Linked DNA regions of Mus musculus. The protein of the gene in region 4 purifies or fractionates together with the protein of the main gene of each other region. This does not show direct contact. Links are inferred from orthologs where the notes say so. Each region holds a gene or a part of one and is shown on either strand. Other genes may lie near its edges. The genes, in order: Bag3, Mlf2, Bag2 and Dnajb6.

Evidence for each region.
Region 1: the proteins of Dnajb6 (region 4) and Bag3 purify together in Homo sapiens (co-immunoprecipitation; 3 studies listed by BioGRID and IntAct, with this or other methods). This does not show direct contact. The link is inferred for Mus musculus from reciprocal best matches to the Homo sapiens genes DNAJB6 and BAG3.
Region 2: the proteins of Dnajb6 (region 4) and Mlf2 purify together in Homo sapiens (affinity purification with mass spectrometry; 3 studies listed by BioGRID and IntAct, with this or other methods). This does not show direct contact. The link is inferred for Mus musculus from reciprocal best matches to the Homo sapiens genes DNAJB6 and MLF2.
Region 3: the proteins of Dnajb6 (region 4) and Bag2 purify together in Homo sapiens (affinity purification with mass spectrometry; 4 studies listed by BioGRID and IntAct, with this or other methods). This does not show direct contact. The link is inferred for Mus musculus from reciprocal best matches to the Homo sapiens genes DNAJB6 and BAG2.

The regions. Positions count from the first base shown.
Region 1 is NC_000073.6:128,520,951-128,528,652, forward strand, and holds the start of Bag3 (BAG family molecular chaperone regulator 3), read left to right. Parts: upstream 1-2,632; 5' UTR 2,633-2,908; coding exon 2,909-3,094; intron 3,095-7,702. UniProt on the Homo sapiens protein: Co-chaperone and adapter protein that connects different classes of molecular chaperones including heat shock proteins 70 (HSP70s), e.g. HSPA1A/HSP70 or HSPA8/HSC70, and small heat shock proteins (sHSPs), e.g. HSPB8.
Region 2 is NC_000072.6:124,928,718-124,936,525, forward strand, and holds Mlf2 (myeloid leukemia factor 2), read left to right. Parts: upstream 1-2,670; 5' UTR 2,671-2,869; intron 2,870-3,381; 5' UTR 3,382-3,409; coding exon 3,410-3,459; intron 3,460-3,693; coding exon 3,694-3,820; intron 3,821-4,059; coding exon 4,060-4,095; intron 4,096-5,236; coding exon 5,237-5,290; intron 5,291-5,573; coding exon 5,574-5,702; intron 5,703-5,868; coding exon 5,869-6,028; intron 6,029-6,515; coding exon 6,516-6,703; 3' UTR 6,704-6,728; intron 6,729-6,884; exon of another isoform or gene 6,885-6,905; 3' UTR 6,906-7,432; downstream 7,433-7,808.
Region 3 is NC_000067.6:33,752,570-33,760,335, forward strand, and holds the start of Bag2 (BAG family molecular chaperone regulator 2), read right to left. Parts: upstream 5,182-7,766; 5' UTR 5,123-5,181; coding exon 5,010-5,122; intron 4,998-5,009; exon of another isoform or gene 4,836-4,997; intron 1-4,835. UniProt on the Homo sapiens protein: Co-chaperone for HSP70 and HSC70 chaperone proteins. Acts as a nucleotide-exchange factor (NEF) promoting the release of ADP from the HSP70 and HSC70 proteins thereby triggering client/substrate protein release.
Region 4 is NC_000071.6:29,746,958-29,754,024, reverse strand, and holds part of Dnajb6 (dnaJ homolog subfamily B member 6), read right to left. Parts: intron 5,681-7,067; 5' UTR 5,655-5,680; coding exon 5,590-5,654; intron 3,088-5,589; coding exon 2,978-3,087; intron 1,629-2,977; coding exon 1,566-1,628; intron 484-1,565; coding exon 373-483; exon of another isoform or gene 1-372. UniProt on the Homo sapiens protein: Has a stimulatory effect on the ATPase activity of HSP70 in a dose-dependent and time-dependent manner and hence acts as a co-chaperone of HSP70. Plays an indispensable role in the organization of KRT8/KRT18 filaments.

The DNA.
Region 1 (7,702 bases), on a different chromosome or scaffold from region 4:
TGTCACTTAGGCTAATCCCAGAAAACAAGGTTGGTCTACATGAAGGTGAGCATGTTAGTAAACATTTTAAAGCCTATTTCTTCATCCACACAGATTTTAGTAAAAATTCCTGTCTTGTTGGGTGTAGTGGTGCACACCTTTAATCCCGTCACTCAGGAGACGGGGGCAGTCAGATCTCATCAGGTTTGAGAGCATAGTCTATGTATCACATTCCAGGACAGCCGGAGCTACATAGAAAGACTCTTATCTCAAAACAGCAACAACAACGAAATGTCTGTGTTCCTTTGGCACTGCCGACAGAGAAACGGGACACGTCCTCACCGCTTCTCACAGTATTCCCGGCAGTGGGTAGAACCAACTTTTCATGCCTAAACGGAAATGTAAGCGGCACATCATGGCTTCCACCACAAAGATCAAATGTGAGAGCCCACGTAAAGTCATTAACGTAGCACCTGACAGCGATTACCCAATAAGCACTAGCCATTATGAGTGTTGTTTTTAATAATTATTATTTACCACACACTGTGCTGGAGGATGGGGACACGGTGGTGATCAAGATCCTGCTCCTGCTCTTAAAAACTCAGCCCATTAAGTAAATCAAACAAACAAGCATTTACAGTGTAAAGCAATTGGTAGGGTGGGACAGGATGTGGATGGTCAGAGGACTAATGGGGGGGCAGCAGGATGTGTGTATGTGTGTGTGTGTGTGTGTGTGTGTGTGTGTGAAGGAGTGTATGCTAAAGGGAATGCTGGGAAAAGCCAAGCTGCCCAGGAGATGATGGTTGGAGTGGATAGAAGGGTTTCCATCCTGGTGGTGGAAGCAGTGTGTGCAAGATACAGTTCAGCAGGGTCAGCTGAAGTATGGACCAGGGAAAATGAGGAATACACCTTTGTGCACCAGACCAAGGAGAGTGGACTTGGTGGGTGCTTGAAAAGGCCTCTCTGGCTGCTATATGGGCAAGAGGTTTAGAGGCAAGCCCAAAGGCTGAAGAACCCATTAGGGTGCTGTGAAGGATCCAGGTGAAAGCGTAAGATGGCTGGGACGGAAGAAAGAGAAGAGTCACAGAGTCAAGAAATACTTAGCAAGATAGGAATGGATGGTAGGAACGAAGGGGCAATTTGAGGACAAAGTGGGGGTGCGGGAGAGATGACTTAAGAGCATTTGCTACTCTTATAGAGGACCAGGTTCAGTTCCCACAAGGAAGCTATAAACATCTATAACTACAGTTTCAGGGCATGCAATACCCTCTTTGGACCTCGGAAGGCATTGCACAAGCCGGCTCATACATATAAAATAAATCTTTATTTATTTTTTTTAAATATTTTTTAAATAGGGCATTGCTAGGCGTAGTAGATGGTAGTGTGCACCTTTAATCTCAATACTTGGGAGGCAGAACTATATAGATAGACCATATCTTTAAAAAAATATCCACAGCCAAGCAGTGGTGACACATGCCCTTGATCCCAGCACTTGGGAGGCAGAGAGATGGATCTCTGTGAGTTCAAGGTCAGCCTGGTCTACATAATTAGCTAGTTCTAGGACAGCCAAAACTACACAAAGATACCTTGTATTGAAAAACAAGCGAAAAAATTCACTTTGTATTCAGTCTTCAATAAACATCAATCTTTATTCCTTTATTGAAGATGGACTCTGGATTTAGCCACGTGCTGGGTGGGTTCAGGTATAAAGAAGCAAAAGACAGACACTGACCAGTGAGTGAATCTAAGTGTCTAGACCTTTCAATGTGACTATCAAATGATAATAAGTCAATATTCCCACATTTGGGCTTATACAGGTGTGTTTGGTGGCACCAGGCAGTACCTGAAGGCTAACTATGTTAATACTTATACTGAGGCTTTGAGACTTCAAAGTCAGTAAGAAGGTCTTTGGAAGTAAAAAAAATCAGCTTGTTGGAAATGTCTGGCAGAGTCCTCTAGTATTTGCCACAGAGTAAAAATCGGAGGGGAAGAGGCCAGAGATGTATCTTTGAAGGTCCCAGGACATTCTCTGAATCTGAGTCAGGAAATTGGCCTCAGTATTGGTTCCAGGTGTTTCTGAAGTCTAGTCACTGTGCGAAAGTGCCTATATAGAAGGCCAAGAGCACAAAGTTGTCACTTTAGTCCTTGCTTCTTCAGTTTTCCAAAGCAGGCAGGTGAGTTTCCACAGCTCTTTCTTTTTGTTGTGACCTCAGATCAGCATTCCAGAATTTCTCAGAAGTCATAAGGCCCTTGAGAAAAAGTTACTAAAAACGTCACTGCAGGACGCCAGCGTCACTGAGTGTGAAGAGAGAGAAAGAACTAGACTTTCCGAGTTTAAAGATGATTTAGTCCTTACACAAAGGTGGGGCCCCAGGTGTCGGCCCTTGGACTGCTAACCCCGGGACACCCCCACGCGGCACGAAAGAGTGGTGGGGAGTCCGGAGACAGAAACCAGCCAGAGAGCACAAGGACACCGGTGCGTGTCAACCTGGCGCGAGGCGCACAGGCCCCAGGACACACACAGGACAGGGATAGGGAGGGACAGCCTGGGTAGTCTAGGAGAAGGAGGGGCGGGTGACAAATCCCCGCCTCCGATCCCTCCCAAGGTCCCGCCCCGCCGCGATTATAGCCTATGACTCAGGGCGGAGCTCCGCATCCAACCCACGGCGGCCGCCAAGTTCTCTGGATGGGACCAGAAGTTTCTAGCCGGCCAGTTGCTGCCTTCTCTTTATCTCCTCCTTCCCCTTTGGCAGCTAGGAGGCTATTTCCAGACACTTCCACCCCTCTTCGGCCACGTCACCCAGTCCTTTAATTCATAAAGGTGCCCGGCGCCGGCTTCCCGGACACATCGGCTACACAGAGGTGCCCGCACTCCACGACCTCGTGACCCGCGCCCTAGCTCTGCGCCCCGGGCGGACCCTAACCCAGCATGAGCGCCGCCACCCAATCGCCCATGATGCAGATGGCGTCCGGCAACGGAGCCAGCGACCGAGACCCCCTGCCCCCGGGCTGGGAGATCAAAATCGACCCGCAGACCGGCTGGCCCTTCTTCGTGGACCACAACAGCCGCACCACGACGTGGAACGACCCGCGTGTGCCCCCCGAGGGCCCTAAGGTGAGTGGAGCTTGCCGTCCCACCTCGACGGCGAAGGGGCCTGGTCGAGCCAGGGCTATGCGAGTCACCCCACCCCGCGCCCTGCTGCGCAAGGAGAGTCCTTAACCATATCCGCCTCGAACGGGCGTCGGGCCGCAGAGAGCCGCAGGCAGGGTGGCCTTGGACGGTAGCCAGCGGGGTGCGACCCGCGTGGTGACATCGGGTGGTTTTCCACAGCCTCTTGCGAAGGGCGAAGGGCAGTGGTGGCCTGAGCTGCGGTGCGCCGCGTCCCAGGGAAGGGCGACCGGCCTGATGAGCGGCTGAGGCCCAGGCCAGGCCCGGCCGCCGCCTCTCTGTCCCGCGCGTCCCGTGCTGAGACCCTGGGCTCCCTCCGGTGCTGATGGCGCACGGCCAGGATTGAAAGGCTGCTGAGTGGAGTCTCCTGTGGGGATTTCACTTTCAAATTCAGAACTTAGTTGAGGCTTATCTTGAGTTTACTGGATCTTAGGCATAGAGTGACTCAGGAGGCTCGAGTAAATAAGTTATTTTCCCCCATTAAACTTATTATTACTGGTCGAAACTGCTTTCAGTTAGAGAAAATTCTGATACTACCACTATTTTTTTTTAAGATACTCTTTCTGACAGTTCCAAAACTAAAGATCAGACATTGTATCACCATACTTAGCCACTGCCTTAAGACTCACACTGGAGTGAAAGAATGTATTTTTAATGGCGTGATTCCTTGTTGTCCTTTTCAAATACTGGAGTTTTGTTACCAGAAACAGCTGAGGAGTCTGGTGAACACTAGGTGTATGCTTCATTTGCATAGATATTCAGGTTTGTGTACTTCAATCTAAAAAGCAAGAAAAATTGAAAATACAAATTTGGAATGAAGCCCAGCCTGGTTCAGGCCTGTCATCCCAGCACCCAGGAAGCTGTGGCGAGAGGATCTTGAGTTCAAGTCTAGCCAGGGCTATATAATCGGAGTCTATCTCAAAAGTTATTAAGTAATTAAGTTGGAATGAAACTAGCCTGTGTTGCAAAATAAGACCTTGTCTTTTTTTATAAAAAAAAAGAAAAAAAAGATTGAGCTGGGCAGTTGTGGCACACCTCTTTAATCCCAGCACTTGAGAGGCAGAAGCAGGCAGATTTCTGAGTTCAAGGCCAGTCTGGTCTACAGAGTTCCAGGACAGCCAGGGCTACACAGAGAAACCCGATCTCGAAAAACCAATAAAATAAAATAAAAATAAATAAAAATTCGATTGAATTTTGAGTGAAGAACTTAAAAATACAAATTTAGGTAGGATTTTTCTTGTTTGTTTTGTTTTTCTTTTTTTAAAATTAGATATTTTTTTATTTACATTTCAAATTTTATTCCTTTCCTCATTTCCCCTCCGAAAACCCCCCTATCTCATTCCCCCCCTCCCTGCTCATTACCCCACTCACTCCCGCTTCCCTGTCCTGGCATTCCCCTACGCTGGAGCACAGAGCCTTCATAAGACCAAGGGCCTCTCATTGATTTCCCACAAGGCCATCCTCTGCTACATATTGGGCTGGAGCCTTGAGTCCCTCCATGTGTACTCTTTGGTTGGTGGTTTAGTCCCTGGGAGCTCTGGGGGTAGTGGTTGGTTCATATTGTTGTTCCTCCTATGGGGCTGCAAACCCCTTCAGCTCCTTGGGTTGCTTTGCTTTTCAAGACAGGGTTTCTCTGTGTAGTGTTGGCTGACCTGGAACTCACAGAGATCCTCCTGCCTCTGCTTTCTGAGGCATGAGCCACCACCATCCGGCCACGTAGGATCTTTGAAAATATAGTTAACAGAAGTCATATTTAGCATAATGTTCAGTAATAATTTATGTACATTTGGTCCTTTCAAAATGAAAAGTTTGGTAAAGTAAATGCACTTTAAAATAGGACTCTATCATCAATGGGAGGAGAGGCCCTTGGTCCCGTGAAGGTTCTATGCCTCAGTATAGGGGAAGGCCAGGGCCAGGAAGCAGGAGTGGATGGGTTGGTGAGCAGGGGGAGGGGGGAGGGGATGGGAGTTTTCAGAGGGGAAACTAGGAAAGGGGATAACATTTGAAATGTAAATAAAGAAAATATCTAATTAAAAAAGGAAAAAAGAAAAAAAAAAATAGGACTCTACTTTGGGCCTGACCTGGTGGTACACAGCTTTAATCCCAGCTCTCAGAGGCAGAGGCAGGTGGATCTCTGAGTTCAAGGCCAGCTTAGTCAATAGAGAAATGTTGCCTCAAACAAACAAAACAAAACAAGAAGAAATACTCTTAACTTATTACTTTCTGGAAAAAAATAAAAGCAGTAAAGAGTTTATAAATTGTTTGGTATTTTCAAAAACTCACCCAATTAAAAATGCTTTATAAATCATTAACTTAGAAAATTCTAGTTTTCTTTTTATGTGTATGGTGCAAGGGATTGAACCCAGGGCCTTGAGAACTTCAGGCAAACATTTTCCTTATAACTATTGCTACAACTTTAGTATCCAGCAGTGAGCCACATACTTGGCAGTTTACATTTACAAGAAACTAATTGTATATTTATTTCTGGAAATTATTACTACAAGAGGCTGTAATTTGGGGTGGACATAATTGCATGTATCTTTGTGTGTGTGTGTGTGTCTATTTCATACATTATTGGGTAAAAGATTCTCTTTTGAAACTAGCCGTCTTCAGACTGCATAGGGAATAGAAGCCATATAATGTGTGGTATGTTTTGAGGCCTCCTTCCTCTGGCTACAGGCACAGTCTCCGCCCTCTGACACCCGTCACTGGGAGTGAAGATCAAGTTTGAGCCTATACATGCTGGTACTTAGCCAGCACGCTGGGATTTGCTCCAGCCACTAGGTAGCTACTAGGTAGACTAAGTTTCCTAAATCTGCTCGAGATTAAAAAAACCAAAAGGAATTTAACACTGCTCTTATCAAGCAGAAAGTGCGAAATATTAAATCAAGATGTCTTGGGCTTGGAAAAAAATATTTCACCATTATAGTTTTAAACTTGAAAGATCCTTAACAGTGTCCCCTTCCTTCTGTGTGAGGAAATGTAGAAAATTTAAGTGTCTTCCTGAAGGTCACCCATCCAGCACCAATAGCGGGTGTGTGTGTGTGTGTGTGTGTGTGTGTGTGTGTGTGTGTGTGTCAAGTGGACCGACCAGTTAGAAGAGACTGTGCCTGTTCAGAAGTCAGCAGTGGCTTAATTTTTAGGAAGCCGACCCGGACCCGTGCTGACCTGTGCTGTGCTAGCCTGAATTTTGATGGTAGGCTGAGACTAACTCAGGAGAAGGGTGTCCTTCTCCAGATTCATTACTTAAGATAGACTTGCCAGCTTGGTACCAAAGCACAAATAGAAAATGAGCATTTCTGGGGAAGAATCAAATCCCTCAAGCTGTTGCTTGCTTTGAGTCTGGGCTTCACTGCTTGTTTTGTTTTGTTTTGTTTTGTTTTGTTTTGTTTTGTTTTGTTTTGTTTTGTTTTTCAAGACAGGGTTTCTCTGTATAGCCCGGGCTGGCCTGGAACTCACTCTGTAGACCAGGCTGGCCTCGAACTCAGAAATCCGCCTGCCTCTGCCTCCCAAGTGCTGGGATTAAAGGCGTGCGCCACCACACCAGGCTGCTTCACTGCTTTTAAATCCATGCGTTGGTTGTCATAGAACATCCCTGTGACCGGGGCAGGCCAACAACTGGGAAGACCTTTAATATTTTTTGGGTGATTTTGGTTTTGTTTGTTTGTTGGGACAGGGTTTCTCTGTGTCGTCCTGGCTATCCCTGAACTCTGTAGATCAGGCTGGCCTCGAACTCAGAGATCCACCTATCTTTCTGCCTTCCAAGTGCTGGGATTAAAGGCGTCTGTCACCACTGCCTGACCACCTTTATAGTTTATATTAGAAATAGTCTTCTTTATTTTTATGTATGTGTCTGCCCGTGTGTACCTGTGTTAGTTAGCTTCCTTGGAGCTGGAGTTATAGGGGTTGTGAGCCAACTTGTGAATGCTGGGACTCAGACTCAGTCAGGTCCTTTTGAAGGACAGAAAGCACTCCTAAATGCTGAGCCATCACTCTAGCCCCTGAAATAAGCGTAAGGAGAAAGCCTCTGCCTCTAAAACAAAGGCCTATCTGGGAGGAGCTAAGAGACCCTCAGAGTATCCCCCCTTGCCTAGGGGATGCTGTCAGTCAATAAAGAGCCCTTTGATGAGTTGGGATGCCTGTGAAACCCTCTGGATGTTTACAGTCAGAGATGACAAAGATGAGTCCCTTTCAGAAAGTAGGAAATCACCAGCCCTTGGTGCTGTAGTCAGTCCTAAGCTCTAGGAGTTGACTTTCGTTTTCTCTCATGTGGTTATAGCAAATCTTCTACCGCTGGTTTTATACTAAACCGATGACCCTCCGTGTCCCTTAGCCTGTTCCAGCTGGAGGCAGTGATGTCCCCATGCAGACACCTCTGTCCGCAGCCACACCATGCCTCCATCTTACTTTTTTTCCCCACACTTGGCCTATCTACCAATCAGGGAGGTTCACACCAGCTGAGATTCCCTTCTGTAGAGAGGGTACTGTTTACTTTGGACTCTGGAGATGTATGAGCCCTTTCGGACCCTCCCCAACTTCTCTTTCCCATGAATA
Region 2 (7,808 bases), on a different chromosome or scaffold from region 4:
CTTCAGACACACCAGAAGAGTGCATTAGATCCCATTACAGATGGTTGTGAGCCACCATGTGGTTGCTGGGATTAGAACTCAGGACCTCTGGAAGAGCAGTCAGTGCTCTTAACTGCTGAGCCATCTCCCCAGCCTGCTACATCCACTCCAGTAGTGACAAGCGCGACAGGCCCCAAAAACCTGGGTGCTGTCCCGAGGCGAAAAGTTCATGGAAACTTAGTCTCCTGGAACCTTGGCATCCTGTATAACGAATGCTCCAATGTCCTTGCTTTAGTTGGTGAACAGATCTGTGTGCTTTCCCTTAATATTCCTTTATTACAAGTGCTCCTAAGGATTGATATTTTGACATATAGCTAAGTTAGATTCTAGGCAGTTATTGATCCGACCTTGGGCATGGATAGCTAAGTCACTGCCTTACACAGGAATTTACCATTATCTAGGAAGAAGTAAGTTTGTGATCCAAGGAGGAACCAGAGTAGATACTTAGAACTATAGATAGCTGAGTTACACCCATACACAAGTATTTACAATGGCCTAGGGGGAAGGTGGACTATATTATAGACTAGAGAAGGATGTAGCCTTGGCTGTCCCAGCTCTCCGGAGCTTGATTGCTCTTCTCCTCCCCCTTGCTCCCCTCCCATACCAGGCTGACCTCAAACACCGAGATCCACCTGCCTCTGCCTCCTGAATGCTGGGATTAAAGGTCACCACTGGCCAAAGTAACCCTTTTATATAACCAGATTTATTTTTATTTTCTATGTATTTTTGCCTATAGGTGTGTACAATGTGTACACAATCCCTCTAGAGGCCCAAAGAGGGCATTGGATAGCCTGGAACTGGGGTTTTACCGATTGATGATTGAGAGTCACAAAGTGGGTCCTGGAACAAGGTCCTCTGCAAGGTAGCAAGCTCCTTTTTCAGATTTATTTTCCGTGTAGATGTGTGCCAGTATGCCAGGTGTGTACACACCCTTGATTTCTGCAGTGCATGTTAGAGCTGCTGGAGCTGCAACTCTGCAGCCATCCTGGGTTGCTCTGGAATAGCAGCAAGCTTTATTTATTTATTTTTTAAATTTTATGCTTTTGGGTTTTTTGTTTGTTTGTTTTTAATTTTATGCTTTTGTTTTTCTTCTAGATAAGCTATGTAGCCCAAGTCAGCTTCTAACTCACAGAGATCATCCTTTTTCTGCCTCCCTCCCAGTGCCCCACCAACCAGCAGGCATGTTTAGCCACTGAGCTGGCTCTGCAGCTCTGAGGTACTCTGGATGGAATGTCAAAGTGCTTTTCTTTAGAGCAAGAAGAAAGGACAATTGTCGGGTGGGATACCAAGAGGCATTTAAAGAAGGTCTTATATATCAAATATCAATGAAAAACACATTTTCTCCTTTTTTTTTTTTTTTTTGGCTTCACTTTGCCAATCTGTCAGCTTACGTTAACTATATCACTGTTTCTTCTCTTAGCACTATTTTTTTCCCACTAGCAATGATCAAATCGAAAGAAGCTGAGAGTCTCTGCTCCCAATCTTTTCCTGAGTAACCACTGACCCTTTTCCCTCAGGGAGTTGGTTAGAATAAACCTTTCTCTTCAGATCAGGTTCCACACGGTACCAATGTGGCTGACAGCCAGAGTAAAGAACTTGGGACAGTTTTGAGTTTGGATCTCTGTGGGTCAAAGTCTACCCAATACAGTTCAAATCCTCTGACCCAAAGGGGAGGGCTCTTCTCTCCAGCTCAGCCAGATTTTGTGCAAGACAATTAGTATGTCAAAATACCAGTCTCTGGCTTTGGAGTCAGCCCTCTTGGGCTTACTTTTTAGCTCCACCCCTGGGTGATTCTGCTTAATTTAGCTCTCCACCCCTTTATTCTTCTAAACTTTAGTCCCTTGACCTATCTACCTGCTCAGAACAAAGAAAGTTTTAAAGACCTACGACCTAAAGGAACTGGACTATAGCTTAGTGGTAGGGCATGTGCTTGGTATGCCCAAGGTCCTGAGTTGGGTCCTGAGCACTAAAACCAAAACCAAAAAACGACAACAAAAAGCAAACAGACTTCAGAACTAACGCCTTTGCCCAGGCCAACCCTTCACAGACAGGTCCTGGAGTGGTCCAGAAGCCTAAGCCAACACCGAGTCCTAAGGAGCTAAGGATCCAGCCCGGCCCAGGATCGCCCTCTGGCGGCCAAACTCCCAACCTGGATTCCCTTCCCTGGTTGGCCTTTTCCAAGGCTTAACTAGACCTGAGCTAAATTGTCACCTCCTTCTCTGCGTCACTCGGAGGACACCGCCCGCCCGAGCGTCTCTCCAGAGGGACAGGCCCACGCGCTCCCCTGGTTAAGCGCCCCTCCTGCAGTGTGTTTAAAGGTCCCCGCAGGGATCCGCCCCACCGATCGCCCCCAGACAGCCCGCCTCTCCCCCCCCCCCCCCGCAAAAAAGGTGCGGCACACCCTGCCCCCACGTTGCGCTCAGCCGGTCCCTCCCGATTCCGCTCCGCCCCCCCCCACCTTTGCAGGAGCCTCTTCCTGTCCCCAGATCCCCGAGCCAGCTTAATGACACCTCCCACCCGCCCCAGAGGACCCGCCCTCCGGGGCTCCACGGCGCGCGCGCCGCCCTCCCTCCCAAGCAGGTGGGCGGAGCTCCCGCAGCCCGCCCCCGGGGCCGTCCGTCGTGACGTCACTTCCGTTCGGGCCTGACCGAAGATCGGCTTCTCGGGCCGAGGGCGGGGGTACGGAGGTGGCAGGCGAAGGCAGGAGGCGGTGCGGGAGGCGAGAAGCTGCCGCGCGGACCAATCCTTGCGTCCCGGGCCGCGACCCTGCTCCTGCAGCGCCCCGAGGAGAGGCCGGCCGGATGGGCCGCTGAGCCGGAGTCGGGGACCGGTGAGGCCAGGGCGCCGCGGCCCGCACGGCTGCAGGGATGCGATCCCGGGAGTGGACCTTCCTCTCCGGCTCGCCCGGCGGGAGGCACGGGCTGGGGCAGTGGCGGCCCGGATCGGTGGGCAGTGAGGCCTGCCCGGGGAGGCCTGGTAGCGCCCAGTGCCAGCAGAAGGCGGAGTAGTTGGGGGTCATTAATGGGGTGGCGGGCCGCCGTTCGAGATTCTCATCGAGTCTGGCGTCGGAGGAGGAGCTGACCGTGGCTCGGGGAAGAGAGGATGGCGGGCGGGGGTGGAGGGGCACCACTAAGAGGCTTGGGAAAAATTCCATGACCGGCTTGGAGAGCTGCTGGCTCTCAGGTCTCATAGGTTATATGGCTCACCTGGCGAAGGATCTTCCCTGGAGTTTGGAGGGGTCAGTGATAGTGTATGCAAGAGGCAGCCTTAAGAGTAGCAACACTGAGCTGGTGTGCATAAGCCTGGCCGCCTGCAGGAAACACAGCCTCCGTATCTTCACAGTGTGGAGCCCCCTGGAGCTGAGATCACGATGTTCCGCTTCATGAGGGACGTGGAGCCTGAGGATCCCATGTTCCTGATGTGAGAATTCCCTCCCCCTCGCGCCCTCAGCCCATTCGGATTCAGGTCTGAGCAGTTCAGGCAGACCTTTGAGTTGGTTCCCTTGGCTGGAACCAGTTAGAATTAGCTGGATACTCAGCTGCCGCTCTCAGAGGGAAGCCGGCATCCGTGCCACTGTGTACCCTGACTTCATTTCGGGGAGGTGAAGAAGGCTGGGGGTTAATCTGCCTTCTATAGTGTATGCTCACTCCGCAGGGACCCCTTCGCAATTCACCGTCAGCACATGAGCCGCATGTTGTCAGGCGGCTTTGGATATAGCCCCTTCCTGAGCATCACAGATGGTAACATGCCAGCAACCAGGCCTGCCAGCCGCAGGATGCAGGTAACAGTTGGAACATATCGAGACCTGGGGTGATTAGTTAAGTATGCTGCAGTTCTTGCCCTACAACCAGCTTTAAAGGGACATGACCTGCGTGGGAGGCAGACGAGTGGGGTCAGGAGTCTGGGAAAGGGGCTGTGTGACTCCTGTGGAAAGAAGGAAGGGGGGAACGGAGGCACTGACCTCCTTTGGTACATACAGTTGGTAGGGTGTAGTTCTAACTTCAGTTTCTCGTCTTGTAGGCTGGGGCTGTCTCTCCCTTCGGGATGTTGGGAATGGTGAGTCCCTGTCTTCTCTTCCTGTATCTCTTGCACAAGTGCATACACTCACGTGCGCGCGCGCACACACACACACACACACACACACACACACACACACACACCCCTTAAATGTTATTTCCAAATGCACCACTCTGGTGGTCTTAAAAATCTTCTCTTTGGATAGTTGACATGGTTCAGAGCCCATTGACTATAAGTTAAGGAGCTAGGGCTGCAGAAATGGCTCCCGAGTTAAGAGCACCTGGCTGTTCTTCCAGACAACCAGGGTTTGATTCCCAGCACCCACATGGCAGCTCACAACTGTCTGTATTTGTAGTCTTAGGGCATCTGATGCCATCTTCTGTTCTCCACCGTCATTGCATGAATGTAGAGAGCAGACGTACATGCAGACAAAACACTCATACACAGAAAGATAATAACTAGAACACTCAAATGCTACTGACACTCAGAAGTTCTTAATCACTGGGGAAAGTAAAAATGTACAGCGGTTCTTTTGAGGAGGGAAAGTTTGGGGTTCTTTTACAGCTCTAAATATTCAGAGGGGTTTTTTGGTTTTTTTTTGTTTTTTTTTTTTTTTGTTTTTTTTTTTTTTTTTTTTTTTGAGACCAAGTTTCTCTATAACAGTCCTGGCTGTCCTGGAACTCACTCTGTAAACCAGGCTGCCCTCAAACTCAGCTCTGTTTACCTCTGCCTCTCAGTGCTGGGTTAAAGGCAAGCCCTGTCAATCAACATTTAGCGTGATCAGAGGTTTTAATTCATTGCCTTTGGGTCACTTCCTTAAAGATCGGGATGAGCTGGGTGTGGTGGCGAACGCCTTTAATCCCAGCACTCTGGAGGCAGAGGCAGGCGGATTTCTGAGTTCCGAGGCCAGCCTGGTCTACAGAGTGAGTTCCTGGACAGCCAGGGCTACACAGAGAAACCCTGTCTCAAAAAAAACCAAATTTAAAAAAAAAAAAAAAAGATTGGGACGGCAGGCAGGAGAAGCATTAGGGCGGTCACAGAGCCGGAGAAGGTAGCCAGCAGTTCATGGGGAGGAACTTGAGTGGTCAGGCTAGATGTAAGAAGGAAAAGGGGTCTGTCCTCAGGTGAGTGGCTGGCCCCAAACCGCTGACTAGTCTTCTGGACTCTCATCTTTCCCCAGTCCGGCGGTTTCATGGACATGTTTGGGATGATGAACGACATGATCGGGAACATGGTATGACTTGCCCCATAGTCTTCCCCTGCCTTGATCTCCGTAGCAGCCAACATGGTTGGGGGTGTGGGGTGAGCTAGTGACTAAGTTGAGTCAGAGCACCAGGGGTCCTGTGTTTGTTCTTAGACCCATGAGTGATTACGTATGCTAGTGTTGGGCCTGAGGAATCGGGGCGGTTGTGATGCGAGTTTCCCATCCTCACGTATTTTGAGGAAGATGTAGCAAGAGCCAGCAGCTGAAGGGAGCTCCCTTCTGCAGAGTAGGCCCTCATTCAGTCCCTCCTCAGGAGCACATGGCTGCAGGGGGCAACTGCCAGACCTTCTCCTCCTCCACTGTTATCTCCTACTCCAACACTGGGGACGGCGCGCCCAAGGTTTACCAGGAGACGTCGGAGATGCGCTCTGCCCCAGGCGGGGTGAGTAAGGAACCCCTCTATCTCAGAGGAGGTAGGATGGATCGGCATCCACAGGAACCAGGGTCATCTGTTTTCAGGACTGGGTCGTGGGTGGCTGGTTCGTCCCGGGGAGATGTAGCCAGGGCTTTGTGGGGAGAAGTGAATGAGCCTATTCACCTCGTCCCAGATCCGGGAGACACGGAGGACTGTCCGGGACTCAGACAGTGGTCTAGAGCAGATGTCCATTGGGCATCACATTCGGGATAGGGCTCACATCCTCCAGCGCTCCCGAAACCACCGCACAGGGGACCAGGAAGAGCGGCAGGACTACATCAACCTGGATGAAAGTGAGTGAGCCTGTCTTCTTCTGGGCAGCAGTCCCTGAGCTAGTTGCTGTAGACTGGAGCATAGCTTTCTCTACCATCCCACAGGTATCTCAGGCAGAGCTGTGGGTGAGCCCTGTGCTTAGGCTCTGTTGCCAGCTTCAGGGCTGAGTCAGGTGTTGCCAGGGAGGGGGCAGAGCTTGACTGACGTCAGGTGCTGATGGTTGTAGTTTCCTCTATCGGGATTGGTGGCTTTTCTTTTCCACCCTTTACTTTGTCTTTCTCAAATGAGTGCTTTATTAGCTTTCGTGATGTATAACTCCAGTAATTGTGCCTCCCCATGGTGTGTAACCCCAGTAGTTGTGCCTCAGGCTTGCCAGTGGCATCCAGGAACTGTGTTGAAGCTAAGATGGCTCCCAACCCCCATTCTCCCATGCATGATCTCAACCTTTGCCCTGGTTTCTGATCTCAGAATACTGTGGCTTCCATGGCTGCTCTCTGTCCTCTTTAGGTGAGGCAGCAGCATTTGATGATGAATGGAGAAGGGAGACATCCCGATACAGACAGCAGCGTCCTCTGGAATTTCGACGGCATGAGGCATCTGTGGGTGGGGGGCGAAGGGCTGAGGGGCCTCCCCGCCTGGCGATCCAGGGACCTGAGGACTCCCCCTCCCGACAGTCCCGTCGTTATGACTGGTGAAGGCCCCAGGCTCTCAGCTTCTCATGTAAGTGCCTGAGAGGGAATAGTGGGAATGTGACAGACCAGAGGAGGCTGGCTGGCAGATCAATGTAGTTAAGCTGTCGTGGGACAGGAGACTTGCTCCTTCTGAGTGGCTGGAAGATGCTCCTGACCCCAGACTTCTGTGTCCTTTCTCTGACAGGCTCATCTTTCCTTCCTCCAGGTGCAGGCTGAGCGGCTGAGTAACCATCCTTGAAATGACTGTCCTTTCCAACCTCTATCCCAATTTAATATTAAATTAACAGGCAAGCTGGCCCCGCCTCTCCCTGGGTCTCAGGGAGAGCCTTCTACTGCCCCCCTTACCTACGTTTCCATCTTCACCCCTCACTGCGTGTCCCACCCATCCTGTATCCACTAACTTGAGTTCTCATGTTGCTGCTCCATCTCCAAGCCGCCTCATCTTCCCGAGCCCCTGCCACGCATCGAAGGGTTTTGGGGAAAGCTCTGGGTTTAGGGATCTCCGTCCCTCAGCTCCCCTGACCCTTGCCCACCTCTTCCTCAGAGCCCCACTGCAGGTGCCATGGTCCTATAAGGGCTGTGGAGAAAGTGGACTAGTTCCAATTCTTTGTCCCTTCCCCCACCCATCACAGAAACACTTTCCTTTACCCTTCTCTGCCTTTATAAAAACTAATGATTTGTGCAACTTGTAACTAGGTGTTTATGGAATAAAGGAGAATGGAAAAAAGTGAAGATTCTGGCTGTACTTTTGCCCCAGTTCAACCCTGCTCAATCCTACCTTCTGCCATCTTGGCTCCACATGTGGCCCAGCTGTCTTAGGGTTTCTTTTGCTGTGATGAAACGCCATAACCAAGGCAGCATATAAAAGAAAGCATTTAATTGGGGGATTGCTTGTTGCAGAGGTATGGCCATCAGGGCGGGGAACAGAGCGGCAGGCAGGCATGATGCTAGAGCAGTTGGCCTACATCTGCTCCACAAGCAGGATGGAGAGAGAGACTGGAAATGGCTTGGCCTTTTGGAACCTCAAACCCAGTGACACACCTTAGTCCTTCCTAAATAGTCCACCACAACTGGGCACCAAACATTGAATTATATGAGCCTGCGGGGA
Region 3 (7,766 bases), on a different chromosome or scaffold from region 4:
ATCAGGCAGTTCCGGTGCTCAGACCACAGGGCAGAACCTGGAGGCAGGAGCTGAGGCAGAGGCCACAAGGAATGTTGCTTCTTGCTTGTTCCCTCATGGCTTGCTCAGCTTGCTGTCTTATAGAACCCAGGACCCCCAGCCTAACCTCGGCCCCATCCACAATGCACAGGTTTCTTAAACACAAATCACTGATTAAAAAGAAAAAAAGAAGCTGGGCGTGGTGGCGCACACCTTTAATCCCAGCACTCAGGAGGCAGAGGCAGGCAGATTTCTGAGTTCGAGGCCAGCCTGGTCTACAGAGTGAGTTCCAGGACAGCCAGGGCTACACAGAGAAACCCTGTCTCGAAAAAAAAAGACCTAACACAGTCAGTTGGTCTAAACCTGTGGGTCACAACCCCTCTGGGGAATCAAACAACCCTTTCACAGGGGTCCTCTAAGATCACTGGGGAACGCAGATTGACATTACAATTCATAACAGTAGCAAAACTACAGGTCGATGGTTGGGGGACACATCACAACACGAGGAACTGTATGAAAGGGTTCCAGTGTTAGGAAGTCAAGATCTTGCCTACAGCTTGATCTTTTTTTTTTTTAATGATTTATTTATTTATTTACTTAGTGTATGAGTGTCTATCCACATGTATGCCCAAATACCAGAAGAGGGCATCAGACCCCATTACAGATGGTGTGAGCTACCATGTGGTTGCTGGGAATTGAACTCAGGACCTAGGGAAGAACAGCCAGTGCTCTTAACTGCTGAGCCATCTCTCCAGCCCCCTACAGCTTGATCTTAATAGGTATTTTCACAACTGAGAGTTCTTTCTCCCACATGGCTGTAACTTGTGTTCTTTTCTTTAAAACTAGCCAGGAGAACACTGTTTTGTTTTACACACACACACACACACACACACACACACACCCCTACCTCTTCTTTTTTGAGACAGGACCTCCTATATCCCAGGCTGGCTTGGAACACACTTGAACTGCTGCTTCATCAGCTTCTGCCCGCTAGTGCTGGTTTTACAAACATATCCCATGCCTGGTTTATCAGTCTTGGTGATGGAACCTAGGGCTTCACGGTTACTAAGTCAGCATTCTTCACTGCTTGGCTTGTTTAAGACCATTCGCACTGTTTATCGGCTATTGCTGTACTTAAAACTCGATTCACAAAAAGTTGCCTACGTAGCTTTCCCGTTACTTTGCGATTAGTGACTGATCCTTAAATACTGCCTGCCTCCCTCTCTATCATTCCTCAAGTAGCTGGGACAGACATATATAAACACAATCTTAATACACTCAAGCGATGACTCTTCTCTTGTTGGCAAGGGGCAGTTCTGTGTGGACTGGAATCCAGGGAGCAGCTACGTGTGTTACCTGTTCAAAATGTGAAAGGACACACCCTCACAAAGCAGCTGACTGGGCAGAGCTTCTAGAAAGTTCCACATCACCTTAAGCAGGCTTTGGCAAAGGTATTGTAGAAAGAATTTTCACAAGCATAAAGCTGGAGCACCCTCATCTGGTCCCCAGCCCTCAGGTGTCTCCTGAGCCTGCCGTGGCGGTGGAAGTATAAAATGTCAGGTGCAGGCAGCCGTCCCTAAACAGCAGCGCACAAAACTGCAAGCCAACCACCAGCTGTGTGAGGAGTTACTGCTGATTTTGCGGAAATTTCCTCCTCCACACCCCACCAGACACCAAATATAAGGAGACCTCGGCTGGAGCCGAACAAAGCAAAGCAGGATTGAAGTTTAACAAGGTGACTGACCGAACTGGCTGAGAAATTCAGCACGAGTCAACCGATACTTATGACGTCAGCACACGCCGGTTTCACAGTGGCCAATCTGCACGTACTGTCATGAACACGGGCTCATTTGCCAATGACAAAATTGCGTGCTTTCATAAACAGGGAGGTGGCCGCCACTCATCTCTGTGGATTTATGCGAAGGGGGCTTTTTCTAAAACACATTCTTAAACTCATAGACCAGGCTCCATGTGAGACCCTCAGCATCCCGATACTGTCAGGAATTGGTTTTCCCAGTCATCAAAATGCTTGTATTTCATTCACTGTCAGCGTGAATGAACCACTAACCAGTAAGGCAAGGCACCTAGTCCCTCAGTTTCTTCCACCCCTATCCCCGGACAGGGTCTCATGTGTCCCAGGCTGACCCAGAACTCCTTATGTAGCCCAGGATGACCAAATCCTCACAACTCTAGGATTTGGGCTACAGGCATGAACCACTATGCTGGTTTTCTGAAGCCAGAGATCAAACCTATGTTTGTGAATGTGCTAAACAAACATCGTTCCAATTAAGACCCATCGCAGCCCAGCGCTCTCATTGCTAAAAGATAATGCCTTCCTTTCCCAGGGGCTTTATAAGGTTGAAATTACAGTGGTTGAAATTACAGTGTACACGAAAAGTGTTCCTTCTAAATTACAGACTGTTACTCCAAATTAAGTATGGTGTCAACTTGCTTCGTGGGTCCTGGAACACTGGCGCATCCGAACAGGAACCTTAAACAGTAAGAAACCAAAGCAGGCGGGTGGCCCGTTTCCCTGGCTCCCGCTGGCAGTCACCCTTTCCTGGCTGAGTGAACTGGAAAGGAGCTGCTCACTGCGGGCGGGATCGGTTTTGGGAGATGTGTAAAGAGCCAGCCTTCCAGCCCTGTCAATCATTTATCCCTCCTTGGCCAATGTCCAAACCCCAGGCCCGGAGCAGCTACTCGATAACTGGCACGTTCTAGGTCTTCAAGGTTTACTGAATCAAATGCTAAATCGATTTTCCCCTCCTTTAGTAAAATCATATTCATTCATATATCAGCTGGACAGTTTGAAAAGTGATATTCAAGACCAGGACAAATGGTGTTGGTCTGAGCAGCCGGTCTCCCCGTGTTCCTAGGCGAAGTCCACTGCTCTGGACTGAGACACACTGTATATATCTGAGCTTCAAGTTCTCATCTGTACAATACAGATAACGGTAACTCCCACAGAGACACGCGGCCTAGCCTACAGACTAATGCTAACGTGGATTATTTACAACCACTGAAAAGTACAGTATTTAGCCTCAGCATGTGCAGAGTCCCCATAGAACTGGTCATGAAAATCAGGAAAGGACAGGATTATCTTTTTAGAGAAAGCACCACAGGAAAGGAGATGTAGTAAAAAAAAAATTTTTTTTAATGTAAGGATATTTTAATGTAAAAATGTTTTTAATTGTAATATTATAAGCCATTAAAAACCAATGGCACCCTTTACCAGCTTGTAAAACTGGGCTAAACATTTAAAAGCATTTTCAATGCCCGGAAGATCAGTGCATCCTGCAGGACAGAAAGCCTTGGGTGTGGTTTCAGTCTTACAAGGGAGCAGGCTTTTGCTGTTCACAGAACCCATTCACCTGAATGGAAGATGCGCACTGGCGACAATCCAGTGATTTCCGGTAGTACCCCGTCCACTGTTGTCCTCAGACGTGTACACTAAGAAAGCTAGGGGGAAGTCACAGGAGCATCGTCCCCATTTTTAAAAAGTCTAATTTTGAATACTGTCATGCTCTGTGGCACTGTCCAGATGGCTTCTAAAAAGGGCCCCTAAGCCTTACCAGGCAGCATCTCTTTCTATTTCTTTGCCCCTTCTGACACACTTACTTCTAAGTGCTCATTACATTTTTAAGGGAGAAACAAGACTTACAGAACTCTGCAGTTACTGGTAAAGGCCTTGAACCATTAAACACAGAAATAAAACCCCTTCAGCGCAACTGTTAATAAGTAACGTAATTTAATCGCTTATGTTTGGTAGTCAGGATTCCTTTGATAGTAATCAGACACTAGAATGTCTATGCAAACTCCAGACTTTCAAGAGGCCCCCAGGAGAAGAGCAAGGACTCGGCACACAGGCTTGATTAAGTAAAGGTTCAGAACAATGACTCAGCTTGAAGAGTCACAACTTCCTGAACCCTTTCAAGAAAAAAAATCGGAGCAGTTGGGAATATACTGTCAAAGGTTAGAGCCTACCTCGCACAAGGAAACATTCTCGCCCCCTTTCACAGCGCAGGTCCCTTTGTCTCCCGGAGTTGGGGGATATAGGGTTCAGGTTTCTTTTGTGGCTACTCCACAGTCAGTGAAAGTTTTCTCACCTTCTGGCTCTTTTCTCCTAATAGTAACAGTAATGAGCGCCTCCCGTGTAACGAACACTGCTTGCATTTTTTTTTTCCTGTGCAGACACACTTCCCTGTGTTTGGTGGCTGCGTGGAGGGAGATTCATCTCCCTCTTATAATTTTGGGTCATAGTGTTCTGCTTACGCAGAACCCGGAGAAAACTAGGGAACAACGTGTGTGTCAGGGCATCTTGATAAGATTTTCATGGAACACCTGCACATGATCAAAACTTGCACAACTTTGAAGACATTAACATTTCCACCAGATACATAAGGCTCACGTGGTTAAAGCCAACCAAGTGTTCACAGCATTCGTTAGTAGTATTCATGAGTTAGAAATTTTACGACAAGGCTGTCCCCGTGTCAGAATCTTAGGGAGAGTGTGACTCCTGCCTTTGGTGTTTTCGGGCCTGCGATTGGCACTTCCAAGGTGTCAGCCGTGTCTTCTAAATGTACAACAAACACGGACAGACTGCAGAGGGCATTGCACGTGGTTGAGAGAATGAAGGATGGTATCCAACTTCGGTGTACCTCGCGCGGTCTCTCATGAGTCCGATTCTCGATGATCCCCAGGAGGGGCCGTCCTGGATACTACCACCCCCCCCTCCCTTACACTTGTATTACTATGAAGTGATCTGGGGCAAAGAAACTTACTCCAGTGTGGGGTGAGGGGGGGGGGGGCACACCAACCTGCTGCCTCCCTCCTGGAAGCAGAAAAGTTAAAGGCAGAGGGGGACCGCGCAGAAGATTCTGGAAGTTCTGCAAGCCGCACTCGCTCGCCAGTCTGCCGGGCCGGGGGAGGGGAGCCCAACCGGAGCGCGCCCCCGCCCGCGCTCGCCCCTGTGCGCGCCCCGCGGCCCTCACCTGAGCTCCAGCTGGTCCAGACTCTCCAGCAGGCGGCTGGAGCGGTCGGCCATGGAAGACGAGCGGCAGAAGCGGCCCTCGTGGGCCTTGGCGCTGATCTTCGCCTGGGCCATGAGCTCCGGGGGTCCTCGGCGTCCGCGGGCAGCAGTGGCGCGAGCCGCACGTCGCCGTCACCACGGGCGCCGCTGACGCGGACGGCACCGCCCCCACCTCCCCGGCTCTCCACCCCCGAGGCCGTGCGGCCAAACAAGGGCAGGCGCGGTCGCAGCCGCGGGCACGCCAGGGTGGGGGACCCTGCCCCGGCGCCCAGGGCCTCGGCCGGTCCTCCCAGCACCCACGGTTCACAGCAAGGACGAAGTGGGTGCAGCCCGTGAGAAGAGGAGACAATCCAGTGCACCCTAGGGCAGTCTCTACTTGTTCGACCTGTCCGGTGACCAGGCAGGCTCGGGAGAGGACAGGGAAAGCCTAGACCACAGGCTCCAAATAAGGAGAAGCCAAGTGGATCCGTGTTGTCTCCCCTTTCCAATGAAAGGATTATTACTATCACACATAACTTGTTTAAACCCTCTGCGAATGATATTCAGTAGGCTTAGATGTCAGAAGCTGCAGAGGTCAGTAGGTCTGAAATACGAAGCCGCATCTTAAAGTTGTGTTTTGTCCTCTCAGTGTACAGGGTACAGAAAATGGGAAACAAAGTACATTTACATCCTTTACCCAGAACTCAAAGCCATTAGATTACTGAACAGAGACAAGCCCCTTAAGTACAGTTTCTAATCCTGTCCCCACCACACCCCGAACACATCTTAATACTAATAAACGGTGGATTATCTTGGCTTCATTAAACACTGTCATCTCACGATACAACCGTGAAATCTGAACATTTTGTGGACATCTTGAAAGTCTGAACTTGGGCAGGTCTCAGGTCTAATGCTCCTCTGGAGGCTGACAAGTTGTGTAACGTGGGCCAGGGTGGATTCAAGGCTAGGCTGGGTAGCTTCAGCAAGTGTCAAAGGAAAAATAAAAGTGGCCGCAGACATAGCTCTGTTAGGTTGGCAACGAGGCCAGGCAGATGTGGTGGTTTGAATGAGATGCCATCTGTGCTCTCTAGCACTTGAACACTGGGGAGGCCTGGGTGTGGCCTTGCTGAAGGAAGTGTATCACTCCCCGTGGGCAGGTTTCAGAAGACCAAGCTATTCCCAGTGTCTCTCTGCCTCTGCTTGGGTTTGAGATCTGAGTGCTCAGGACATGTCTCTGCAGCCATCATAGACTCAGACCCTCTGTATCTAAGTCCAATTAAATGCTTTCTTTTACAAGTTGTCTTGGTGGAGGTGTTTTATCACAGCAGTAGGAAAGTAACTAAAATGGCAGGGATCTTCATATGTTTGTTTAAATGTCTCCACACGTTGAACACGCACAGAGGCATCTCCAGTCTAAGTTACTACGGATATGCTCCTGTCTAATGACACGCCTATGCTCTTTTCCTTATATAAATTATGACTTTAAACTGAGCATGCTTTGGAATAGGCATGTTCCTTCATGAATATGTACAGGATTCCTGAAAGAAAAAAAAAAAAAATCCCTCAGTGCTACCTGAGCTTGTGGAGAGCTTTGCTTTGGTAATGGCTCTGGAACTCTTCCTGCCTGGTGCAGGTTGCAAATCTTTGTCTTTTGCATCCTGGCGGTGCCTAGTTTGGCTTCACAATCAGCAAAACAGGTAATCTTTAGTCACCTAGCCTAGAATCACCCTGGGCTCTTTCACTCTTGTATCCTAGATACAATCCATGAATAGGTACCAGTTCTACCTTCAGAATCCTCCTTGATCCCACCGACTCGTCCTTACCTGGATGACTGCAGAGCCCCGTGTGCTCTCTCACATGTGTCTTAAAGAGCCTCTCCCATCAACACAGCATTCAAGCACAGTAGGCTGTACCATAAGCTCTCCCAAACCTCCAGTGGCTCATCAGGGTAAACAAGGCAGCATCTCTCAAAGTCAGGGGCCATCTTGTAAGCTTTTCACATGGCTCTTTCGACTCTTTGCTTAAGCTCATTTACCAGTGAAAATTTCCCTGGATGTTAAACATGTCTTCTGAGTTGAGCCCAGTGGTGGCTATCTGTAATTCCAGCAAGCTGGAGGCTAACCTAGGCTGCACAGCAAGATGCTGCCCCAGATTTGATGATCCCCAGAGCTGCAGTAAGCTCAGTCCCAACCCTGTACATTACCCTCCCTTCTTCAGTCGGCACGTCACCCAACAGATATGGAATGTTTTTGGTTTTTCTGGTTTTGTTTGTTTTCTGAGACAGGGTTTCTCTGTGTAGCCCTGGCTGTCCTGGAACTCACTCTATAGACCAGACTGGCCTGGAACTCAGAAATCTGCCTGCCTCTGCCTCCCGAGTGCTGGGATTAAAGGCGTGTGCCACCACTGCCCGGCCAATAGTTTTATCTGCTTACTTATTGTCTAATACTGTCCATATAGCCCACTCTCCATGTCAGAGCAGTAGAGCAATAGAGCAGGAGCGCTCAAGATCACGGTCACATCTCAGGTACTTCAAGCAATTGCTCTCACATGGTAGATTCACAATAACTTGCGAAAAGATGAATTAATAATGGAATGAAAATATCAATATTACAAATATACTTGTGATAGTAATGTACAACTTTGCTATTAATGACTCCTGTTTAAATTACAAAGCAGTTTTCTAACATTTTACGTGACTTAGTGAGAGAAAAGCAGTTAGTGATGATGACATGGCCTCTTC
Region 4 (7,067 bases):
GTGAATACTAAAGATGTCAGTATATCCAAGATCCTGGTTTCAAATCCTGAGTATCAAAAGCAAGAAATAAATGTTTAAGATCAGATTTCCAACATCTTATCCTGTCCCAACCATGAATTCACCAGAGAGCAAAAACAAATTAACTAGGATAGAATAATACACATGGAAGAGGGAAATAATGCCCTAAAATCTTTATTGCTGAAGTCACCAATCAAAAAACTCTGAAAAGGTTGGCAGGAAATGCCTGACGACTCCACTAGTCCAAAAAGACAAGAGTTCAGTAACACAACAAAATGTTAAATGCAAACATTTAACATGGTACCATCAGCCCTCACTAGGCCAGACCAAAGGACGGACCAGGCAGGTACTTACCAAAGAAGTCAAATGAAAATGGGTCCCTTCCACCAAAAAATTCCCTGAAGACATCATCTGGGTTCCGGAATGTGAAGCCAAACTCAAATGGACTGTCAAAATGAATTCCACCTATACAAGCACAATAAAGTGTTTAGCTTATGAATTCTGATATTTCAAAGCAACTGTTTATTCATAAATTACTGTATATTTCATGGTCTGAGAGAGAACATATTCCACACATCTGGGATTCTAAAAGCCCAAGAGTCTTATTTGCCTAGCATTTGACCACATGAGTGCTCAGATCTCTAAGGCCTATGAATTTTTCAGTCTCTGTCTGCAATGATGCTTTAACATAATCAAATCACTGTCCACTGTTTTTGTCATGAATTATAAAGGCTTATGAAAGCCAAGAATATTGACTCCACCAATTTCCCCATAGGTACAATATTAGATCCCAGCAAGCCTTTTAAGATGAGGCAGCTCATCTCCTGAGCACCATTTCCACACAATAGGCAATGTCACTGCTAAAAGCATAGTAAGGTTATCTTATCAGAGCAGACATCTCCACTTACTTCTCCTAACCTGACAAATGTGTAGTTGGTTCTCCCCCCTCCCTTTTATTGAAGCAGGTCCTCACTATGCAAAGCAGGCTGGCCTTAAACTCAAAGTTCCTGTCAAATTCTCTTTTGGTTCAGTTTTTATATATTTTAATTATTTTTAATCCTTTAAGGAGGCAGACTTACTGCAGAAGAATCACAATCATATAGAGTGATCTAAAACCCACCAGGCAGGCTTTCAACTCACAGGCACTACACTACCTTAGCCCCTAAGGTGCTAGGATTTTCAGCATGTACCACCATGCCTGATCAACAAGCAGGTTTATTTTTATTAAATGTTTAAATGTTTATTTCTCCTCATTTACACAAACTCAACACTTTCAAGGCAAATCCCTGTTGACTATCAGGTACAAATCATAAGAACTACGCGGAAGCAGTGGTGGCGCAGCACTTTGTTCCCAGCACTCGGGAGGCAGAGAGAGGTGGATTTCTGAGTTTGAGGCCAGCCTGGTCTACAAAGTGAGTTCCAGGACAGTGAAGAAACCCTGGAAAACACAGAGAAACCCGGTCTCGAAAACAAACAACTTTAAGAACTGAAAAAATTTATGTAAACTTGTCCAAGACCTTTTGTCTCCAAAAAGAAAATTGACATACCTCCTCCTCCACCACCATTTAATCCTTCTTTGCCATATTTGTCGTAGATGTCCCGCTTTTTAGCTTTAAATGTGAGAAAAACAGTATGAGTAAGTTCTTGTTTTCAAACCCTCAAAATTCAGTATTTCCCATTATAAATCTACATCCATTTCGAAGGCCCTCAACTTTAAGAGGAGGAAGGTCTCCTGAACTGGCAAACTTAATTATAACTGCTACAAATATTTACAACAAAGTTCAGGGGGTGGATGTTAAGCCCTGGTAGAATGGGAAGTGGATAAGCATATACCATAAAAGGAGCCAGGCCTGTACTACATTTACACAGGCTCAGACTCAGGATCTGCTTGCTGAGTTGACCACTCACTTGGCTCACAGGTGCTACGCTGGTATGCGTGAACCCTGCTTGCTGCCTTTGTGCTTCTAGGACAGACACAGCACGGCTGCCACATCACTCTGTCTTCCCCCAAAATCTTATGTTATATTCTACAACAGGGGAAACAAAAGTGAAGAACAACCCCATCTTGACTAAGAAGCCGCCTTGTAAGAACATAAGCTCTGAAGCCCAGGCTCCAGCCACTAGAGCTCAAAAGCTCAAACTGTATTAAGACCTTGGCACATTTGCAGTTTTTCAGCTAGCGATGTCTTCATTAATTGAAAAAAGAAATTGATATTTGTCAAGTTTCAAGGGTTGTTTTTAAAACTGGGAGAAGGTAGACTTATAGAGTATTCATAATGCAAGGAGCTATATGCCAATAAGCTGTCTCATTGAGTTTTAGATCAGGTTCCTTCTAGAAATAGATTTTTTAAAGACAGTGACCTATTATTTCCTATCATCAGTCAATCAGTACCTAACCTTTTAAATGCCTCTAGCTTGACTCATGCCAGGCCACCCAGCAGGATAGTGCTTAGGGTGTGGGCAGTACTATTCCAGTCTCTGGCACTGTTCCCAGCCTTGTAGGTGCAAAATCTTCCCTTTACCACAAACTCAAATTTGATGGCTGCCCCTAGCTGACAGCCAACCCTTCATCAAACTGCAAAAAACCTTCACAGAGGCATCTAATGTCTATGATCTAGACCCAGAGTGGGGTGGGTAGATATGTGTGTGTGTGTGTGTGTGTGTGTCTGCCTGTCTGTCAGTCAAAATCTAAATTGGAGCATCTCTTCCTTGTGCAAGTAGGTAAAACTCCATTAACAATACTCTGCTGCAGTAGAACATGTCTACAGCTCATGGCCTATAACTCTAGCTCTTCAGCACCCATGGTTAGATGTACCAGATACAAAGTACACAAGAAAATTAAAACTTTAGGGAAGAAGGAACACTCTAGCTAGGAGCAAACAAATTTTGTGTCTGTGCTCTCTAGGAAGCCCTGTTCTAATGCACTCTCAGAGCCCTTCACGAGCTCAGGTTTACTTACCATCCGATAACACTTCATATGCCTCAGCTACTTGTTTGAACTTCCGCTCTGCTTCTTCTTTATTTTCAGGATTTTTGTCCGGGTGCCATTTAAGTGCCTGTTTTCGATACCTTGAAAGATAAAAAGGGTGTATAATGAGTACATATGAAGTCCATGGAATTTTAATACCTAACAGCTAGCTGAGGGAGTAGCACATCTTTAATTCTAGCAATGGGTCTGAGAGTTGAGATGGCTACACAGTAAAAACCCTGTCTCAAAAAATTAAAAAAAAAAAAGAAAGAAAACGAAGCCGGGTGTGGTGGCCCATGCCTTTAATTCCAGCACTCGGGAGGCAGAGGCAGGTGGATCTCTGAATTCGAGGCCAGCCTGGTCTACAGAGTGAGTTCCAGGACAGCCAGGGCTACACAGAGAAACCCTGTCTCAAAAAACCAAAAAAAAAAAAAAAAAAAGAAAAAAACAAAAAAAAGAAAACGAAAAACAAAAAAAACAAAAAAAACAAAAAAAACAAAAAAAACAAAAAAAAACACCAAAAACCACCTACCCTTAAGCAGAAAATGGCTACACCATTAGGTATAAGAATATCTTAGCAATCCACCTTTTCTTGAGAATGAAATAAGCAAGTTCTAATTTCGGATACTAGCAGAAATTGGCAAGATTGGTTTGAAAACATGTATGTGGGATGATCCAAATGTCCAAATTATAGGCTCTGGTGATCAGGTGAAGCATGTACAGAATGTCGACAAATCCTTGCCCTCTGAGCCAAACAGATACAACTTAAATAAATTCCCTCATGTTTCTATTTTTCCCAGCCATCCCAATATTCCACTTATCAATATAAAGAACATCTCCCATAGCACAAGCCAGACTCCTAGTAACATTTAAATAGCTACCTATTGTAGATTTAATGTCTAAACAAAATTGAAATATCAACTTCTGTGGCTAGAGTATGGCCAGTGATAGGGCACCTAGTATGTACACAACTTTAATCTAAAGCATAACATTAGAGGAAGTTATGTCCAATACTGGAATTAAAACAAGTATCCAGTGTCCTGATTAAACCTTATAAGGAGCATATGAAAACCCAGAAGTGATGTTAACTGTAATCGTTAACTTGACACAACCTAGAATCACTTGGAGAATGGTCTCAAGGAGGCTGATGTGGGAAAATTAAGTACAGCACCATTCCGTAGACAGCACCACTAAACTGCAAAGAAATCAAGCTGAGCACAAGCAAGAACACAGCCATCTACACATTCATTAATCTTAACTATAGTAGATATAATGTAACTAGCTGTATAAAGCTTCTGCCATGACTTCTCCACAGTGATGAATATATGACCTGACCTCTATCATGATAAACCCCTTAACTACTGTTTCTTTTGGGTATTTCATCACAGCAACAGAAATAAACTAGAACACTAAGACTCAACTGGTTATGTATGCCCCTGGCTACACACCAACCCTCTGTGTAACAGAATCCTGGTTGTCTTGGATTCACTTTGTAGACCAGGCAGGCTGGTCTCAAAGTCACCAAGATCTGCATGCCTCTGCCTCCTAGTACAATGATTACAGGAATGTGCCACCAGTACCCAGTGTATACCAACAATTTAAAAAATAATGGTGAAAAATAGTAATAATGGTGAAGAGCTACAGATATAGTTTAGTGGAGACAACAGGCCTATGTTGGAATTCAGAAACACCATGGAGAGGCAGAATATAAATTATCACAAAGTAAATATAGATAGTACAAGGAACTGCAGAGAGAACCCAGGACCTCTAGCACACAAGGGCAATATTAATATTTCTATTTTGGGACATAGTATAAGTTGTCAAGTTTGGGGGATGTATGTGTTTGTGTGTGTGTGCACAAATATGTTTATGTATGCGTGTGAAAGCTAAGCCAGGTCAACCCTAAGAATCATCTACCTCAGCCGGGCGTGGTGGCGCACGCCTTTAATCCCAGCACTCGGGAGGCAGAGGCAGGCGGATTTCTGAGTTCTAGGCCAGCCTGGTCTACAAAGTGAGTTCCAAGACAGCCAGGGCTATACAGAGAAACCCTGTCTCGAAAAACAAACAAACAAACAAACAAAAAAAAAACAAACAAAAAAAAAAAAGAGAGAAGAATCATCTACCTCATTTTTTAAGACTGAGTGGGTCTTTCTTCATAGGAACCTAAAGATCACCAACTAGATAGAATGCCCAATGATCCCCAGGTCTGATCACAAATGTTAGCACTTTAACCTAGAACTAAACCATAGGGTTGAAAGCCACTTTAGGTCTGTGTTGGGCAGTAAACTGGTGTCTGCCTATCATGTATGAGTCTCTTAGATTAGATCCCAGTACAGGGTGGGTGCCTTGTTCAGGGTTTGAGAGAACCTGTTGCTCTTACTGAGATCCTAAGTTTGATTCCCGGCACCCACATGGTGATTTGCAACTACCTATAAAGTCATTTCTAGGAGATCATATACTCTCCTCTCTTCCTTGAACACTGAGCACACATATACATGCAGGCAAGCAAATCATTCACACATAAAATAAACCTAATTTTTACATTATCCAATTACCAATGAACCACAGTACAGAATTATCAACTCAGAAATAGAATCACTTACGCCTTTTTAATGTCCTCAGGTGAGGCATGTCTCTGCACGCCCAGCACTTCATAGTAATCCACCATGTTTTAACTGACTGTTGGAATAAATCCTGCAAATAAAAAAATACAGCCCATGATAACACTGCCCAATGAGTGAAAAACAAGAGGAAGGATGAGAGTCGGTTCCTTCTCAGCACCTACTGGCCCAGAGAGAACTTCTGGTAGCCAGTCACTAGCCTGTATCTTAGGCAGGACTTTTGTCCAGAAACTGGGTTCAAGAATCATTTCCCGTCCATGTGGTGGGGCACACCTTTACTCGAAGTACTAGAGATGCAAAACGCAGGCAGATCTGATTTCTATGCCAACCTGGTCTACAGGGCAAGTTCAGGACAGCCAGGCCTACAGAGAAATGGGGGGAGAGGCATCCCCAAATCTATCAAGGAAAAAAATGCTTGGAAATGACATAATAGTATATAAACAGGTCACTGGTCTCTGAGGCAGAGATCAGGTGCCACCTGACCAAAGGACTGGCTACATCTGCTTTCCTAGACCACAATGCATTTGGGGAGATTTGGTTACTTCCCTCCCTGATGAATTTCTGCACCAGGTATTAGGCAAGATTACAAAGATGAACACACACTAGCTCTGCCTGAGAAGCATGTCGGCCTCAGCACCATGGCTCTCTCATGGGAATGGCATCGGCTGTTGCATTAAGTTACTCACAAGAAAGGGAAAAATATAGTTGACCAGTCTTATATAAATAACCTCTCTGTCCAGCACCCAACTACCAAACCAACACAACACTGCTCTATCTAATACTATCATGCAGACTAGAGTAATTCTTTAGCTGAAATCCAGGGACAGAGCACGGCTTCACCTGTCTCCACAGAGCAGCACAAGGAAACCATTCGGCTTCTAACTACCTGATATGTGGTCTTACTGTTCTCTAAATAATGTGCTTTCATTTAACAGTGTCTAAATCACTTGGTCACTCTACAGAGGTAAGACTAAAGGCCTGTGGTTAAAAACTCATGCTTTACAGTTTGCTTCCCAGTTCTCACTCCAACTCCAGGTAATTAATCTAATGCCCTCTTCTTGTCTATGAGTGCACGCACATGCCCACAAAATAAAACCTGATTCGTGGCATGTCTTTAATCTTAATGCTGTGGGGGTACTAACTTAGCCATTTCCCAAACCTCAAATATCCCATTTGTATAGCATCTCTACTTTCCAAATTGAGGTGAGTTTTTTTGTTGTTTTTTTATTTTGTTTTGTTTTGATTTTTTGTTTTGGTTTTTGGAGACAAGGTTTCTCTATGTAGCCCTGGCTGTCCTGGAACTCACTTTGTAGACCAGGCTGTCCTCAAACTCAGAAATCCACCTGCCTCTGCCTCCCAAGTGCTAGAAATAAAGGTGTGCACCACCGCCGCCTGGCCAAATTGTAGTTTTTACAAAGTTATAATATTTTATGATTCCTTTTTATTTTTAATGTGCATTT